Linked DNA regions of Caenorhabditis elegans. The protein of the gene in region 3 purifies or fractionates together with the protein of the main gene of each other region. This does not show direct contact. Each region holds a gene or a part of one and is shown on either strand. Other genes may lie near its edges.

The links.
Region 1: the proteins of acdh-9 (region 3) and pbs-5 fractionate together in Caenorhabditis elegans (co-fractionation; one large-scale study listed by BioGRID). This does not show direct contact.
Region 2: the proteins of acdh-9 (region 3) and pbs-1 fractionate together in Caenorhabditis elegans (co-fractionation; one large-scale study listed by BioGRID). This does not show direct contact.

Annotation. Positions count from the first base shown.
Region 1 is NC_003279.8:14,717,851-14,723,067, forward strand, and holds pbs-5 (Proteasome subunit pbs-5), read right to left. Parts: upstream 2,628-5,217; 5' UTR 2,613-2,627; coding exon 2,209-2,612; intron 2,158-2,208; coding exon 1,823-2,157; intron 1,622-1,822; coding exon 1,506-1,621; 3' UTR 1,317-1,505; downstream 1-1,316. Other genes in the region: Y54E5A.8 (Conserved plasma membrane protein), read left to right, coding at 388-661, 1,038-1,135; K05C4.2 (Protein jagunal homolog), read right to left, coding at 2,871-3,131, 3,181-3,489; sol-2 (CUB domain-containing protein), read right to left, coding at 4,071-4,276, 4,321-4,426, 4,865-5,217. UniProt on the Caenorhabditis elegans protein: Component of the 20S core proteasome complex involved in the proteolytic degradation of most intracellular proteins. This complex plays numerous essential roles within the cell by associating with different regulatory particles.
Region 2 is NC_003282.8:1,707,487-1,712,434, forward strand, and holds pbs-1 (Proteasome subunit beta), read right to left. Parts: upstream 2,260-4,948; 5' UTR 2,257-2,259; coding exon 2,179-2,256; intron 2,134-2,178; coding exon 1,934-2,133; intron 1,869-1,933; coding exon 1,418-1,868; 3' UTR 1,317-1,417; downstream 1-1,316. Other genes in the region: pugs-4 (C6 domain-containing protein), read left to right, coding at 25-133, 929-1,048; K08D12.3 (CCHC-type domain-containing protein), read left to right, coding at 2,781-2,880, 3,080-3,435; rpi-2 (Protein XRP2), read left to right, coding at 3,793-3,914, 4,103-4,214.
Region 3 is NC_003280.10:845,518-850,796, forward strand, and holds acdh-9 (Isobutyryl-CoA dehydrogenase, mitochondrial), read right to left. Parts: upstream 3,087-5,279; 5' UTR 3,084-3,086; coding exon 3,017-3,083; intron 2,967-3,016; coding exon 2,866-2,966; intron 2,815-2,865; coding exon 2,642-2,814; intron 2,598-2,641; coding exon 2,382-2,597; intron 2,335-2,381; coding exon 2,172-2,334; intron 2,064-2,171; coding exon 1,831-2,063; intron 1,776-1,830; coding exon 1,673-1,775; intron 1,628-1,672; coding exon 1,454-1,627; 3' UTR 1,347-1,453; downstream 1-1,346. Other genes in the region: F28A10.7 (uncharacterized protein), read right to left, coding at 1-78, 124-169; F28A10.13 (60S ribosomal protein L35), read left to right, coding at 3,417-3,500, 3,592-3,693; F28A10.5 (Methyltransferase FkbM domain-containing protein), read right to left, coding at 4,161-4,562, 4,610-4,992, 5,041-5,137.

The sequences.
Region 1 (5,217 bases), on a different chromosome or scaffold from region 3:
GACTCTGAAAAAGCCAGCTTCCGTAAAATTCCAATTCCCGCTGAAAAATGAGATATTTTTTGAATTTCAAATAATTTTCCAATTTCTGTTATTATGCAAATTTCAAGGTAGATGAAAAGATTCGATTGTGGTGGGACCCGACAATTCTATTATTTATCATTGGAGCGCGGTTACAGAGTTTTTAACTTTTTTAAAAATTTTGCCGATTATCGGTTTGTACGACGAAAATATTCTAACAAAATGAAAAAAAAAAAAAATATTCGTGACTATGGTAGCTTAAATGTTTATATCAATTTAGATAACGGCAGGACCCAACACCAACAATTTATATTTCTTTTAACATTAGAGCGCGCATGCTGACCACTTACCAATTTTCGATTTTTCCAGCCAAGTTCCTATTCCTTCAAGCCATCTGATTTCCCGTGGATTCTTGTCGGATTACTCTTCTGCATTGGAATTTTCATGGGCGTCATGCTTACCGCTTGTTACCATTTTATAAATAATATGCAAAAGGAGCCACAATTCGATCGTTCCAGTGCCATTATATATAATAAAGCTGGCGATAGTGTGGGCTCCGAGAGCCGCCGTCCGATGCTTCCCAGGCGGAGAGAGCAGCAAATTGAGCTTATAGAACGGGCATCTGTGGCACCTTCTATGTCCTGTAAGTTTTTAAAAAAATATTATATTTTTTTCACAAACAAGAAAAATGAAGTTTGCGCGTCAAATCTGATGCATTTTGTGTGTCTTTGCGTACTTTCCGATTGAGGACTCAAAACATCATATTTGGCGCGCAACCTTTGTGTTTGATCTACGGAAAACTTAGTTTTGGCAAATTTCGAACTACCCATTGACTTTCTCAGCCAAAACTGTACAATCCAAAGCTGTCGAAAAAATTAGAGAAAGTTGCAAAATATTCCTGGGTACGGTAGCTAAAATATTTAGATCCTACTGATACCCATTACTCTTAAAATCGCACTTTTTCTCAATTTTAATGGAAAAAAACAATTCAAATAATAGCACAATTAAACTATTTCCAGCTGGAACACGAATAGGCCCTGCGTGGCGGAACACTAATGGGACTCCAGCTGTTATAATCACCACGTCATCAACACCCAGCCGACACATATCGCTTTAACTTGATTTTCACATTCGAAAATTGCAATAAACTTTTGAGTGTAACTCCATCTCAGTATCCCTCTAGAACTACTTGATATTAATGTTCCAAAAATCCAATTTGTGCCATGTGATTGAGAGTTTCTTCCAGCCACCCCTGTTGTCGAGGGAAATTCTAAATTCTAAGCCTAAATTCGGGATTTCGAACTTGAAAACTTTAGAACTTAATGTACAGAGAGTATTTAGCAAAAGAAGAATAAATTAATTGGAAACGAAAAATAGAAATAAATGACATTTTAAAGACGGGTGTGTATGTAAAAAAAATCGGGATCGGATCAGACATCAAATACATGTAAGAAGAATAAAATTAATTTCAGCGTAGGGAAATTGAATCACTCGACTGGGTTGTAGGTGATATCTCTGCCGAGCTCATCGGCAAACTCGTACCACAGCTTGCTCACGTCCATTGGTGGAAGACGAATCTTTTCGGTTGGCGTGATGTGGCACACTGAAATTTGGAGGATGAAAAATAGAAGCGATTAGATTAAAGGTGGCCGGAGATTTCACAAAATGAACCAATTTTTTCATTTATCCGAAGAATTTTTTCGAATAAAAATCGTCTAAAATTTAAATTTTAGACAAAATAAAAGCCATTTTTAGTGAAAAATGGTCCATTTTGTGGAATAGCCGAGCAAAAAGCTTCACGTACAATTGCAGACGCCTCCGGATCCAGAATCCCGATAAGTGGCGTGCATGATCGCACGCAGGCCGAGCTTTCTGGCCTCGTCGTCCGTCATCTTTGGCTTGTAGTGATTATCGAGGATACCGTAGGCATTCAGAGATCCTGAGCCAACTGAGCACACTTTAAGCTGGCAACGATCTCCTTCCGAGTCGACTTTGAAGATTTGTGGTCCCTTCTTATCGTATCCGGCCACCATCGATCCAACTGACAATCCTTGTCCTCTGTATCCATAGAGCGTATTTGCAAAGTACTTGCTCGCGGCGCTCACGGTGATTGAGGTCTTCTCGCGGAGCTCGTACAAACTGAAAATAAATAATTATTTTTGTTTTGAAGCTGAAAATATTGAAACTCACGTGCAGTACTTGGCGACAATTCGGGTCCAGAACTGACAGTCAGCAGCTCCTCCAGCCATCGTGGCAACCATACGATCTCCGATGTCCAAGATCTTCATGACCGACTTGGATGAGATGTATTCACCACTGGAGGCTCGTGAATCGACAGCCACAATGATTCCTCCCTTGTCAGCTGGAGTTGCTGGCTCGTAGACGAACGCCAATGTGGTGGTTCCTTTGCGGAATTGCATGGATTTTCCGGCGGTCTCGGCGAAGTGAGTCTTCATGAAATCGACGGGCTGGATTCCCAACGGAAGCTTCGCGAAAGTGAAATCAGCTCGAGCCGGCTCGGCGATCAGGTTCTGCTTGGCCATTGCCATCTCTCCTTCGTCATTCTCGAAATCGTCGAATGTCTCGCCCCACATCTTTGGAGTTCGATTCTGAAAATTGATTTAACAAAATGAAACAAATGCAATCAATATTGAAACAGAAAAGTATCAACGGAACTGTAGAACAGTAACCGGTAATTAGAAAAAGTAAGAAAATAAATAAAAGATATGGAATTATTAATTTGGCAATAGAGACTAGCAGGAATTTGAATAAAAATACTATTAACAAGGAAAAGGTACACAACTCAACAAATGGGGGAAAATTGAAAAATAATATCACAAAACGGAGAAAATTTAATCTCGCTTGACTGGAGCCCATGCGGCGGCAAGGTGATGCATGAAGTACATGGAGAATCCGTGAATCTGGAGTGCGACCGCGAAGAAGATGTACCATATGATGACCATCGGGAAGATTCCTTTGAATGTCGGTGTGTTGCTTCCCTCCATGTCTTGAGCATACTCCATCAGCTCTGGAAGTTGTCCTCCAAGCCCGATCATGCATGGGAAGATTCCGACGACGAACTCGGCATAGTAGGCGTAGTGGAGGATCTTGAGCTGAAATAAGAAGTTATATTTGTGGCAAATTGATCAATAAATAAATTACTTTGTTTCGTTGGAACGAATAGATGGCGAGGACGATCGGAATGAATGAGAAGCACCACACATACTCCCATGGGTAGGCTGACGGCATGTCCAGTCGATCGAAGAACGCGTTTTTCCATCCGAAATTTGTTCGGAGGAGTTCGCTGCCAACCTTGAGCCACATGAAGACCAGGATCAAGAAGTGTGGAACGAAGAACCACTTGAGGATCGACTTGTATTGAGCGCTCTCCTGGTAGTGCTGTGCGACCCTCTGCCGATTTTGGAAGTCCGTCCCATCGGTACCCGCCGCTCGAACTCCTCGTGATGACATTCCCGCTTGAAGTGAGCTGAAATAAAGATATAATTGAGTTTCAAGTGATTAAAAAGAGAAATTAAGAAGAAACAGCGAAGAATAACATCTGAGCTGAAAGTATAAATTTCACAGGTCCCAATATCGACCAACTCTACACATTCATCAGTATTTCCATAGAAAGAATGAGAAAACTCGTTAAAAAAGCGAAAACCTGCGAAAGATATAGAAAATTTTGTTTTAGTTAGTTTTAGTGATGACAAAAGATGACAAAAAGACGAGTCTCCGCCCCTTTGCAATGCGCGCGCGCGGTTTTCGCAATATCGCCGCACGGAGTTGCCGTTATTTTTCTTTTACTTTCCCGCTGATAAAGAATTAATATTTCCATAATTCTTTCTATTCTGCCAGGCAAAACACTTGAAAATTGTCGAAAGTAAATAATTTATATGTTTGAATAATGTTTATTAAAGTTTCAAATTAAAAATAAAAGAAAAAAGCTCCGTTACATTAACTGAAAAGCAATTTTAAATTATAAAATTGTGAAAAATTCGATAAATTTGTCGAGCGAATCGCGAAAACATTCACAATTCGCTCTCTAATAGTCACCGGTTCGGCTGTATCCGTGTTGTAATCGAATTATTATTCATATTTTTACATTTCCCATTCTCCGACGCGGCTCTTCGTTCCCGAATCATCACCCGAAGCCGTCGCCGCTTCCTGAACTGATCACAGCACACCAAGACGAGCATCGTGAGCACAATCAACGAGAATCCGAGTGCCGCCGATGTTATTATCTCTCGGGAGTAACCTGGAAATTTTTAGATCTTGGATTTTACTGGAAAATGAGCTTACAGTGTTGCTCGTCGGAGAAATCTCCTTCAACACAATTATGGATTCCGTCACAAACGAGAGAGCTGTGAATGCAGAGACGGGACCGTGAAGCGCAAATTCCATGACCCTGAAGTAGAAAAAAGTAATTGAAAATACATGGATTTCAGCATTGTGGCAATTCAATTTGTTAAATATCAAAAATACAAATCACGAAAAGGCTAATTAATTTTTCTTACAAAACAAAATTTATTCTAAATAGGTTCTGTTCAACTTTAGAATTTCTCCTTTTTTTTCGAATATTCAGACTGTCGAATTTATGTTTTCTCCCGTTCAAAAATCAATTTTCCAGCTCGAAACTAGCAAATGTCGTGAAATGGGATGTTTTTGGGTACTGTAGTTCCGTTTGCGTACTTTAGTGACTACACTAACCCAAAATTTTGGATTAAATAAAAAGTTTTGTAATTAAACAACTCTTTTTTTTTGAATTTATGATTCAAGTTAATTTCTAAAAAATAACAAGGAACTACATATAGATTCATTGAAAACATTCTGATTTTTCACAAACCTGTTCAACACAAACTTGTCCCCCATGGCACATAAATTGATCCTTACAAGAATTTCCATTAACACTCTCATCACCTTCTCCAATCAGACCCTCCACTGCAGTCCATACAACTTTAAATCCAATCCTCTCTTCCCCAATCATTGAAGACGGTGGTCCTTCCTGTGTAATAAATCGTACAACAATTCGATTTGCACTTGATAAATAGCTTTTCATTCCCTCTTCTGCATAATACAGCTGACTTCCACAGAATTTTGCTTCAGACGTCTCTGACGTGGATTCCTTTCGATCAATTCCATATTTTTCATGTTTATATCCATCGATTATTGTTAGTGATGCTCGTTCACATTCTGCAA
Region 2 (4,948 bases), on a different chromosome or scaffold from region 3:
TTCTTCTAAGTGCTGAAGCTTTAGATTCGACTATAGTGATGTTTCATTCGGCAACACTCATGCTCAGGGAGCAACTGTGGCGATAACGTGTACGACGGGCGGCCAAGCGGCCACAGTTGAAGGATACGACCAGGTGAGTCCAGTTCCGTTGCCATTGGAGTTTCGGAAGACAAAAAGAGCAAAAAATAATTCGTATAGTGGTCAAGAATATGAATTATTTAGTTTTTTTGTCCTGAAAATATAATTTTTCCAGGCCCAAATTCCGGGAAGACTTGCGAAATTCAGATAAAAATTTAATGTTCTTGAATTTTGTGCATTTTTTTTATTTCATAGAAAAGATTGAGAAATTTAACCAAAAATTTTAATGCAATTTTCTGCTTTAAAAAATCCAGAAAATTTTTCAAATTATCAGCGAAAAATCGGATTTTTAATCGAATTTCTTGGTAATTTGGTCTCGACGCGACACATGTTCCTTAAATGCAAAAAGGTGTGCGCCTTTAAAGAGTACTGTAGATTCATACTTTTGGTGCAGCGGAATTTTCAACGATTTTTTGTTATTTTTCGATTCAAAATAGTATTTCATTTTTAAAAAATTACAAATGTAAAGTAAAAAGTACGAAAAACTATGAAAAATCGATGAAAATCGCGCAGAAACAAAAATTTGAAACTACAGTACCCTTTAAAGGCGCACACCCGTTTGTATTTAACGGAAAATAATCGTGTCAAGACCGGGTAACGCATTTTTGGCTCCAAAATCGATTTTTTTTTTCTTAAATTTCCTCTGATTTTCGAAATTTCGGGGATTTTTTTAGAATTTTAGAAAAAATTACAATTTTCGCTGAAAATCCGCAGACTTTCCGTATCTTTTCAGCTGTGAAAACTAAGAAACCACAAGGAACAATTATTTTTATTTTTCTTAATTTTTCAGCAAAGAGCTTCAATCTCAGCGGCTCCGTCTCTGCTCGCCACTTGCACAAACGTTGGCGGCTCCCAGTACACGTGGACGATCCTTGGCAGAATTTTGCAGTTCGTCGATTGCAGATTTTAATTTCTAATTTCCCCCAATTTTTTTTTTGAATATTCTCCTCCCTAGAGATACTCGCCCATTGCAATATTTTCGTCTTTCCATAACCTGCCACGTGTATATTTTCGCAATTTATGAACTCTTTCTGTTAAATTAACTCTAATAAATCGCTTGACGTTCCACGTGACCAGTTTCCCGGAGGAGAATACCGGTCAATTGCGTAGCTTGGCTAACCAATTACTGCACTTTTGACATAGCAGCGGTAGCAGCAGCAGCATTGAAACGAAAATGATGACAAGTGTGAATTTTCATAAATATTGAGGGAAATCAAATAACTTAGCAGTATAGTCGCACAGGGGAAAATACAATAGAAGATCGAAAAACGAAACGATTTTAGAGGACTTGTTCGATGTGCGGTGGGAAAGAGAGATGTGGAGTTGGTGTCTGCACGAATGGGAATCCTGGTTTGTCGGGACGGAACAGCTCGAACTGTGAGCCGGCTTTGTTGATCACGGCGAGACGGACAACTCCGCCGGAGGATCCGTCACGGAAGGTGGCGAGTCCGACGGCTTGCTTCACGATCGCCTTGCACTCCTCGAGCGTCAAGTTTGGTCTCCATTGACTGTCGAGGAAGCCCTGCACGAATGTGGAACCGGAGCCGGAAGCTGTCGATCGCTGGCGGGACACGAATCCTCCGATTGGGATTGCGTAGACCTGGCCGCCGAGCTCCTCATCCCAGCCGGCGACGAGCACTGAGGCGGAGAGCTGCTCGCGGTAGTTGTAGAGGAATTGGCGGAAAATCTGGCTCGAGCGGTAGATTGTCACTGGCTTGTTCTCTGTCATGCTGAAAAAAGTGATTATTTAAAAAAATTATTTTATTTAATTTTAAAACAACTGAAAATTCCTTACGTATAAACATCAATATGGTACTTGGCAATATCGGCGATCGCTTGAGTGTCCGCTGCAGATCCAGAACGGCACACAACCATATTATCGGTGATCGGGGTGATTTTGTTGGTGGCACGGGAGGTGATGAACGAGCCGGCGCTGGTTCTCGAGTCGGTTCCGACGACAACTCCACCGTTGTACTCCATAGCGATGAGAGTGGTCTGAAAATTGAGCTTTTAGTGGAAATTTCAATTTAAAAATCTCACTCCAGTGCTGATTTCTTCCTGTGGATAGAACCCGATTGCCGGAATGGCTTTGCGCTTCTCATCTCGCATAGTATCCATTATCTGCAAAATATCGACTTAAATTCATTTTTTAAAAGTTATTTTAACGTTAAGAAATCAATAATAATGTATAAAAACAAATTTAGTAGTTATTTTTCAGAATAAAATCATTAAAAACGAGAAACCCGAGCAGAAAAAACATTGTCATCAAATCTCAATGCAGCAAAAATGACGTTTGAATTGGCGCTCCACCGGACTGCCTGCACATCTAACTTTCCTGGCACGCGGCCAACATTCGATTTTGGGACGATCGACACGTTCTGGCCACATTTTCTTTGATTTTTTCTGATTTCGCCGACTTTTTTCCCGTTAAAACTGGTTTTTATAACTAGTTTTCCATGTATTTATTAGTTTTTGTCATGTTAGTCACTGAATATCCATGATTTCTCGCCCTCACTGTCTTGGATTTTTGTTTCTCTGAATTTTCGCCATTTTTGATTGAAATTGTGACATTCAACCGTTTATTTTTTTGTAATTCCTCGCAACTGATAATTTCTTTTTTCTAAAATCAATTATTTGCAGTAATGTCGGACAGAAATTGCTACAAGTGCCAACAGCCGGGACATATCTCCCGCAACTGCCCGAATGGCGAGTCCGATGGTGGACGTAGAGGAGGTGGAGGAGGTGGAGTGGTGTTGAATTTGGGGTGTTGAGTTGATTTAGGTAAATACATTATCTCTTGATTTCTTACCGAATTGCAATAATTTTTGAAGTTCTGGAGAAGTGGAGGCGAAGAGAAATGTGTTTAAGCTGGCGGAGATTAGGAGTTATTTGATGATAAATTTACAGCGGAAATCTCGAGACTAATTTCATGTTATTTCAGGATCCACCTGCTACAACTGCCAAGAGACTGGACACTTCTCTCGCGATTGCCCCAAGGGAGGATCCGGAGGAGGACAACGTGGAGGTGGCGGCGGCGGTGGATCGTGCTACAACTGCGGAGGACGTGGACACTACTCTCGTGACTGCCCATCCGCCAGATCTGAGGGAGGAAGCGGTGGCTACGGAGGCCGCGGTGGAGAAGGCAGAAGCTTCGGCGGACAAAAGTGCTACAATTGCGGACGCTCCGGGCACATTTCCCGCGAGTGCACCGAGAGTGGCTCGGCCGAGGAGAAGCGTTGCTACCAGTGCCAGGAGACCGGACACATCTCCCGCGACTGCCCAAGCCAGACCAACTAAATCAATCATCATTCCCCCCATTTTCGTTGTCTTTTCATTGTTCTGTAACTCGAAATAATGTATTCAACTGAAACTTTCGTTCACTCCTTTTTCCAATAATCCTCTTCCCCGCATCTCAAATATTATATGTGAATGCTGGTTGCAGCTATTATCCCCCATCCCAACCTCTGAACCTCTTGAACGAAAGTGGTAATAAATTGTTGATTAAAGTCGTCGTCTTGCGCTCCTCCTCTTTCGCATCGGAAGTGAAGGCGACGTGATGCTCTCACATGGGTTTCCATAGCAACGCGCGCTCTCGCCGAGCAACTCGCGCTGCTCATTCACTCACTTTCGCATATTCTGCGGGAGCCTCGAACAATGAGCTGTTGTTTTTCGAAAAAGCTTTTTGGGCGCCGGTCTAAACGTGAGGATCGCTACAAGGTCAGCGAGGATGCGGTGCCGAAACCGGAAGAGGGAGGTGAACCTCCAAAGTATTCGTGGTAAGTGGAATTTGTGGTCTCGCAGTGAATTTTTTAAAAAAATTCGATTTCGCTGCAAGACCTGTTGCAATCATTTTGATAGCGCCTCTCTGAGGTTTCTAGGTTTCGTTTCTTTAGATATTTAGGTCTGGAATTCAAAAAAAGATTAAAGGCGCATCGCTGCGGGACCCGAAAAATTAATTTTTAAGGGATCGTCGAGAAAAAGTTAATGCCGAAGACTTTACAATTGCGAATATCCATAACACGACTCTGAAAAAGGAGTCGAAAGATGGTGGACCACTTCAAATGGAGAATTGCACGGTACGGTTTAAAGGCGCACGTATCGTGGCGAGACCCGATAATTTCTTTTATAAACTGATACAATAATTTAAAGTGGAAAAGGAGTCTCAGCAATTTCCGAAAAATAAAAATATCGTTAAAGAAAAGAGCGGAATTTGAAATTCCCTTCCGCATTTTTTAAAACATTTAATTTTCAATAAGATTTTATCAATCTCCCGTATACTAAATTTTCCGATTTTTGATGTGAAAATACGGTACCCGTTCTCGACACGGCAATTTTTTTAAAACACAAAAACGTGTGTGCCTTTAAAGAGTACTGCATACATACTGTAATTTCAAACTTTTGTTATTCCGGGGTTCTTATTAATTTTTCATCGTTTTTCTATCATATAAAAATATGTTTATTTACTTTTTAAAAACTAAAATATTAAAAAAAAACTCTAAATTTTTAATAGATTATGGAAAATCGATAAAAATTCCGCAGCAACAAAATTTTTAAAATACAGTACTCTTTAAAGGCGGACACCCGTTTGTATTTAACCGAAAATTACCGTGTGGAGACCGAATACCGTATTTTCGGCGCAAAAATCGCAAATTTTAACGTCTGGGTAATAAATTTGAAAAACTTTCTTTGAAAATTTAAATATCCGCTGATTTTTTTCAAAATTTCTTAACAATATTTTTTAGAAACATGTTTTCGCAAAATTTTCATTATAAAAATGCAATTTATCTGAAAGTCCGCAAACTTTCGGGAC
Region 3 (5,279 bases):
AGCATTCCAGATACATAGAGTTAGTCCTCATGCACGTGTCGTCTTCAACACAATCATCGTACTCCGAAGAAAGAACATCTGAAATAAAAACGATGCACGCATTATCAAGACTTTAAAACTTACATTGTTTACAGTTCTGAGCGCTCTCACTGCTGTCGTACCAAGCCATTATAAAAACGTAAAAATTTAATAAATCGGCAGAACTAGAACTGATCAAACTAGGAGATAATGGACAAAACAATTAGAAAGACACGTCTTTTATTTATTATTAGAAAACGTGAGAATATAATCTTTACAACTGCATATGTTCGATCATTACCAGTTGTATCTATCGGTTTTTGAGAACTTGCATCATGTCGCTGTTTGATAATTCAGATCTTGCCGAGAAATGTCGATCATGTAAGTTTTGAAGATGTACCGACACTAGGCGCTTTTGTGACAACAAAAAAGTAGCAGCCGACATTTTAAACCCATTTCTGAAGATAATAAATCTAGCAGCCGAGTCCCAGGGCTGCTCTGCTAAATCGCTTCCCTGCAGCGTCCGACCTCTCACGAGCTTTTTTCTAATGAATCTCTATTTCGGACACCGCTAGCAGCGACTACTGTCTTGATGACGCCTGCAAAAGTACCAACGCTCTCTGGAAAGAATGCTGTGAGCAGACCAACTACTGCGAGTGGTACATGACGGTTGAAGTTGCAATTGCCGTCATTTGCATTCTAGTTTTTCTGTTTTTCTGTGGAATTGTTGGATCCATTGTTTCCTGCGTTTGTACCGGAATTTGCTGCTGTGCAAGAGCTGCTGCTGGAGAAGACGGCGATCTGGAAGGTTTAGAGCTAGATTATGAAACTGAAAGTTTGACAAAAGATTCGGAACTCAAAATGTCTTAGAACTATAAATTTATTTTTTGAAACAATAAATCATTTGAACCCAATTATTAGAATTAGGTAAAAACGTAGTTTGGTAAAATTGTTGCCGACAGTTGACAGGATCGGCTTTGAAACAATTGAAGTTGAGCACCCCAAACTTTTCGGGCAGTTTGGATCAACTCTTGAGTGAATATCTACGACCAACCAATGAATGAAAATGATCCATGTGCTCGTGTTCAAGTCTTTGAATGGCTTCATGGAGTTGCTGAGAATCCACCAAAATTTATCGGTCCTGCTTTGCCAACTGGGCCAAAATATATGAGCCTACTCATTACCGGGATCAGGAACGATGCTTGGTTGTGATGTTCTAGGGACGTGAAGCTCCTATCCACACAGTGAAAAGAAAATTGTGATAGAATATGCTTACAAATAAAAGAGCATTAATTTTTAGTCTTTAATTTCGTTTTTGTGCAGAAAAAAGGAAAATCTAAAACATTTATATTCAATAAAAGTTTGTAATAAATAGCAAAATGCCATGAGCAATTGGAAATACCCATTTCTAAAATTCCTTGGAGACAAATATGGCTCAGGAGCTCCAGAATACATCCTTAGTGAGCAGGTCCCTGCTAATCAACAATCTCATCATTTCATTGGTTCCTTCAAGGATTTGGTGAACTCGGATGTCGCGGAGGTACTGTTGAACCGGATAATCTTTCAGGAATCCGTAGCCACCGAACATCTGCAGAGCTCCGTTGACGACCTGGAACAAGAAACTTTGTCAAATGTCGGCTGAAAAATTACTCACATCGAAACAATTATCAGTGGCGTGAAGCTTCGCCATTGCACAAAGAGCCACCTTCTCCGGATCATCATTGTCTAGTTGCTCCGCGGCGTTTCTAACGATTAGTCTGAAAATAAGTTCAAATTTTTTATAAAAGTTTCTAGTTGACAAGAAAATCTCACCTGCTAGTATACAATTTTGTGGCGAGCTCCGCAAGCTTGAACTGGTTATACTGGAAGTCTGCCAAGCTCTTACCAAATTGTTTTCTATATTTCAAATGTTCAATAGCTAAGTCCATGCTCCTTTGAGCAGCTCCTAGTGAGCAACTCGCAATGTTAATGCGTCCTCCGTTGAGCCCAGCCATTGCGATGTTGAAGCCGAACCCGTCTTTTCCAATTTGATTAGTGATTGGTACCTGGAAAATGGAAAATGGAAATTTATACAAATGCTCAGGGCAATCGTTTCTTTTATCGGAAAACAGTCAATTAATACTTCTTAAAATTAAAACTTCTAAAACGCTCACCTTGCAATCCTCAAAAGTCAAAATCCTTGTTGGTTGTGAGTTCCACCCAAGCTTATCCTCCTTCTTCCCGTAACTGAATCCCTCAGTTCCATCCTCAATCATAAGACAGAAAATTCCCTTGGCTCCCGGAGCTGCACCATCCTGCCGCATCATAACGAAGTAGCTAAATTTTTTACAATATTTAAACAGAATATCTCAAGAAAGACCTACTTATTTGAAGTTCCTGCTCCACTGATAAAAGCTTTCGATCCGTTGACAACATAATAATCTCCTTTTTTGGTAGCCGTGGTTCTGATGCTTGCGGCGTCGGAGCCCGCGTCTGGCTCTGTGAGACAGTAGGATCCGAGCTTTTTGAAAACAGCCATGTCTGGGAGCAAGTCCTCTTTAAGCTTCTCCGGGCCGTAGGTATCCAGCATCCAGGCGCACCTATAAGATATATAGTTCACTAGTTTTTTTTAAAGCTAACTTACATATTATGAATTGAAATATAAGCTGCCGTCGACACGCATCCCATTGAAAGCTGCTCAAAAATTACTGAAGCATGAAGTCTAGAGAGCCCGGATCCTCCATGGTCGCCACTGCAATAAATGGCTCCGAATCCCATTTCTCCAGCTTTCCGGAGCACGTCCATCGGGAGCTCTCCCTGAAAAATTTCAAATCATTTTTTAAAAGAATGTTTTTGGGAAAATCTTACCTGCTTATCCCAATCTGCCATTTTTGGGTACATTTCTTTCTTGGCAAATTGATGGGCGGCTTCCAAAACATCTTCGACGTCGCGTTCGAGTCCAACACCCGCTGAAAGTATATTTTCTTAAAAAATTGAACTTGTAAAATATAAAACCTACGCCTCAAGCAGTAACTGCTGGAATTTCTGAGCCGAAGACCTTTGGAGAGCACATTTCGTAGCAACATCTGCTGAAAATTTGAAAAAAAAATCAAACGAAAATCACGAAAACCGAGAGCACGTGGTAGAAGAAAACTAAAGTGGACTTTTTGTCCGTTTGGCAGGCAAGAGAGGGAGAGATAGAGACGCAGTGAGAGTTGCAGGCAAAATATGAAAGAGACGCAGAGGGGGAAAGTGATAGTTTGATCGCATCGAGACAACTGACGAATAGAAGGAAAGAGAACGGTGGTCAGTGATGTTTCCTCCTTTTGTTTCTTATAGATTGACGTATTGAAATTTGAAATTAAAACTCTGCAAAACAAGAGGGCATAGTCAAGTAGGAATATAGCAACTGGCAAATCATGGGCCTCAAGAAAAAGATGTTTTATAGAAACTGCAAACCTCTTGCAGACACTAGCTTTTCGAAAAAATTGAAAAAAAAATTTGTAAGTTTTCAAATAAAAATCCGATCTGACCCCTTAACCTCTATTTGTTCTATTTAGATTAAATCTCAAGCCTATATGAAAGAGATTTCAGACTTCAATCAGAGTCAAACACCAATTAGTTCTTCCGGATGCAGTCAATGCTAAAACATTTGTGATGCGTCATCAAACATCAAGGCGTCTGCAGCAGCTATGATTTCACCGACCTTTTTCATATGAATCAAAAAAAGTTTTGTATGTTAAAGTTTTTTTTTGTAAAATCAATATAAAATGTTTGGCTTGAACAATCTGTGTTTGGTTATTGTTTCATTTTCAGATGAACTAGTGAGTTTTTTGGGTATAGCTTTGCCTTGAAAAAAGCATAAAAAGGTCAAATCAATGATTTATTATTGTAATAATTTTTTTTCAATATAGACTTTTGATTAAGAAAAAACGAATTCTACTAATTTTCCATCAATTAATAAAAGCTGTGAAACTCAGTGAAAATTAGATGCTGCAAAATTGAGTCAAAAAGAATTTCAACTAGAAACGGATAAAGCCGAAAAATATGAGTACACGTTAATAAGCACTGATTTGGTTTAGTGTCGAAATAAAACCAAGAATTCAATTTACATAAACTTTATTTAAAACACAAATAAAATAAAATAAAAACAAAACAAAAACTCATACAGTTACTGGTGGAATGATGCTGGCCAACGGAGTAACTTCAAACTGTGCCATACAAAAGTCGTTGATGAGACTGTACTCACAGCATGCCTCGCAATATGGGTTAGGGTCCACGTTGAAGATACGGAAGCCGTATTTTGCCATGGTTTGGAGCAGTTCAAAGTGATTCAACGGGGTTCCATGAATTTCAATGAAGATCTGACAAACAAAATAGTCCTTGATCAGTGGCTCCAAAGCAGTGAACTCTCCATTTTCAATATCCATTTTCAACAGCTCAATCTCACTTCTACCAGACTTCTCGAGCATCGATGAGATGGGCAGATTGTCCGGGATTTTTCCTACGAACAATTGGCCATTGATATTCTTGTATGACTCTTTCGTCTTTTCGTTTTGTTCTCCCTTAATTTACAGAGTGAATATTTAAAATTCAAACGTTTTAAACTCACAATATCTGCTCCAAGTATGATGCATTGCTTCCCTGTAGCTTTGTGGATGTGTTCATCGTATTCTATTTGATTGTTAAGTCCCAATGACATCAACGTGCACCCATTTCGAACCATTTTTGGATTGCAAACATACTTTCCCCCGTCTCCTGACTCTCCAATTCTTTCCATATTCTCACAATGAGCTTCCGTCTTCACCTTCGCGTAAAAGTCCTTGTTGTCATTTAACTTTGCTGCAGCAATCAGTAGCTTCCGGGCCTGATCCGCAGATTTAAAAGAAGATTTGCGGACCTCTTTTGCAGAATGGGAAGTGTAAAGAGCTGCTGGGTTAAGCACTCGAGCTTGTCGTGTGAAGCTCGGCAAAGAGCATTGTTCCAATTTACGATCTGAATTTTCCCGTGTAACTAGCATAACTATGATCTTTTGAAACTTACTGATTTGATTGGACGTGATAAAAATAGACACTGAAATAAGAAGCAGCAGAACTAGCAAGAAGATGCTCAAGGAGCTCGAATTTTGTTTACGGAGCATGCCAGTCTTATCTTAAACAGTGACAAGAATCGTTGAGATGACGATGAATGTAAACTAAGGACTGACAGAGAAACGGATCAGTTTTTGGGTGTTTTCACGTGAAACGTGTTTGTGATTTTATAACTTACCAGCCGTTCGCACG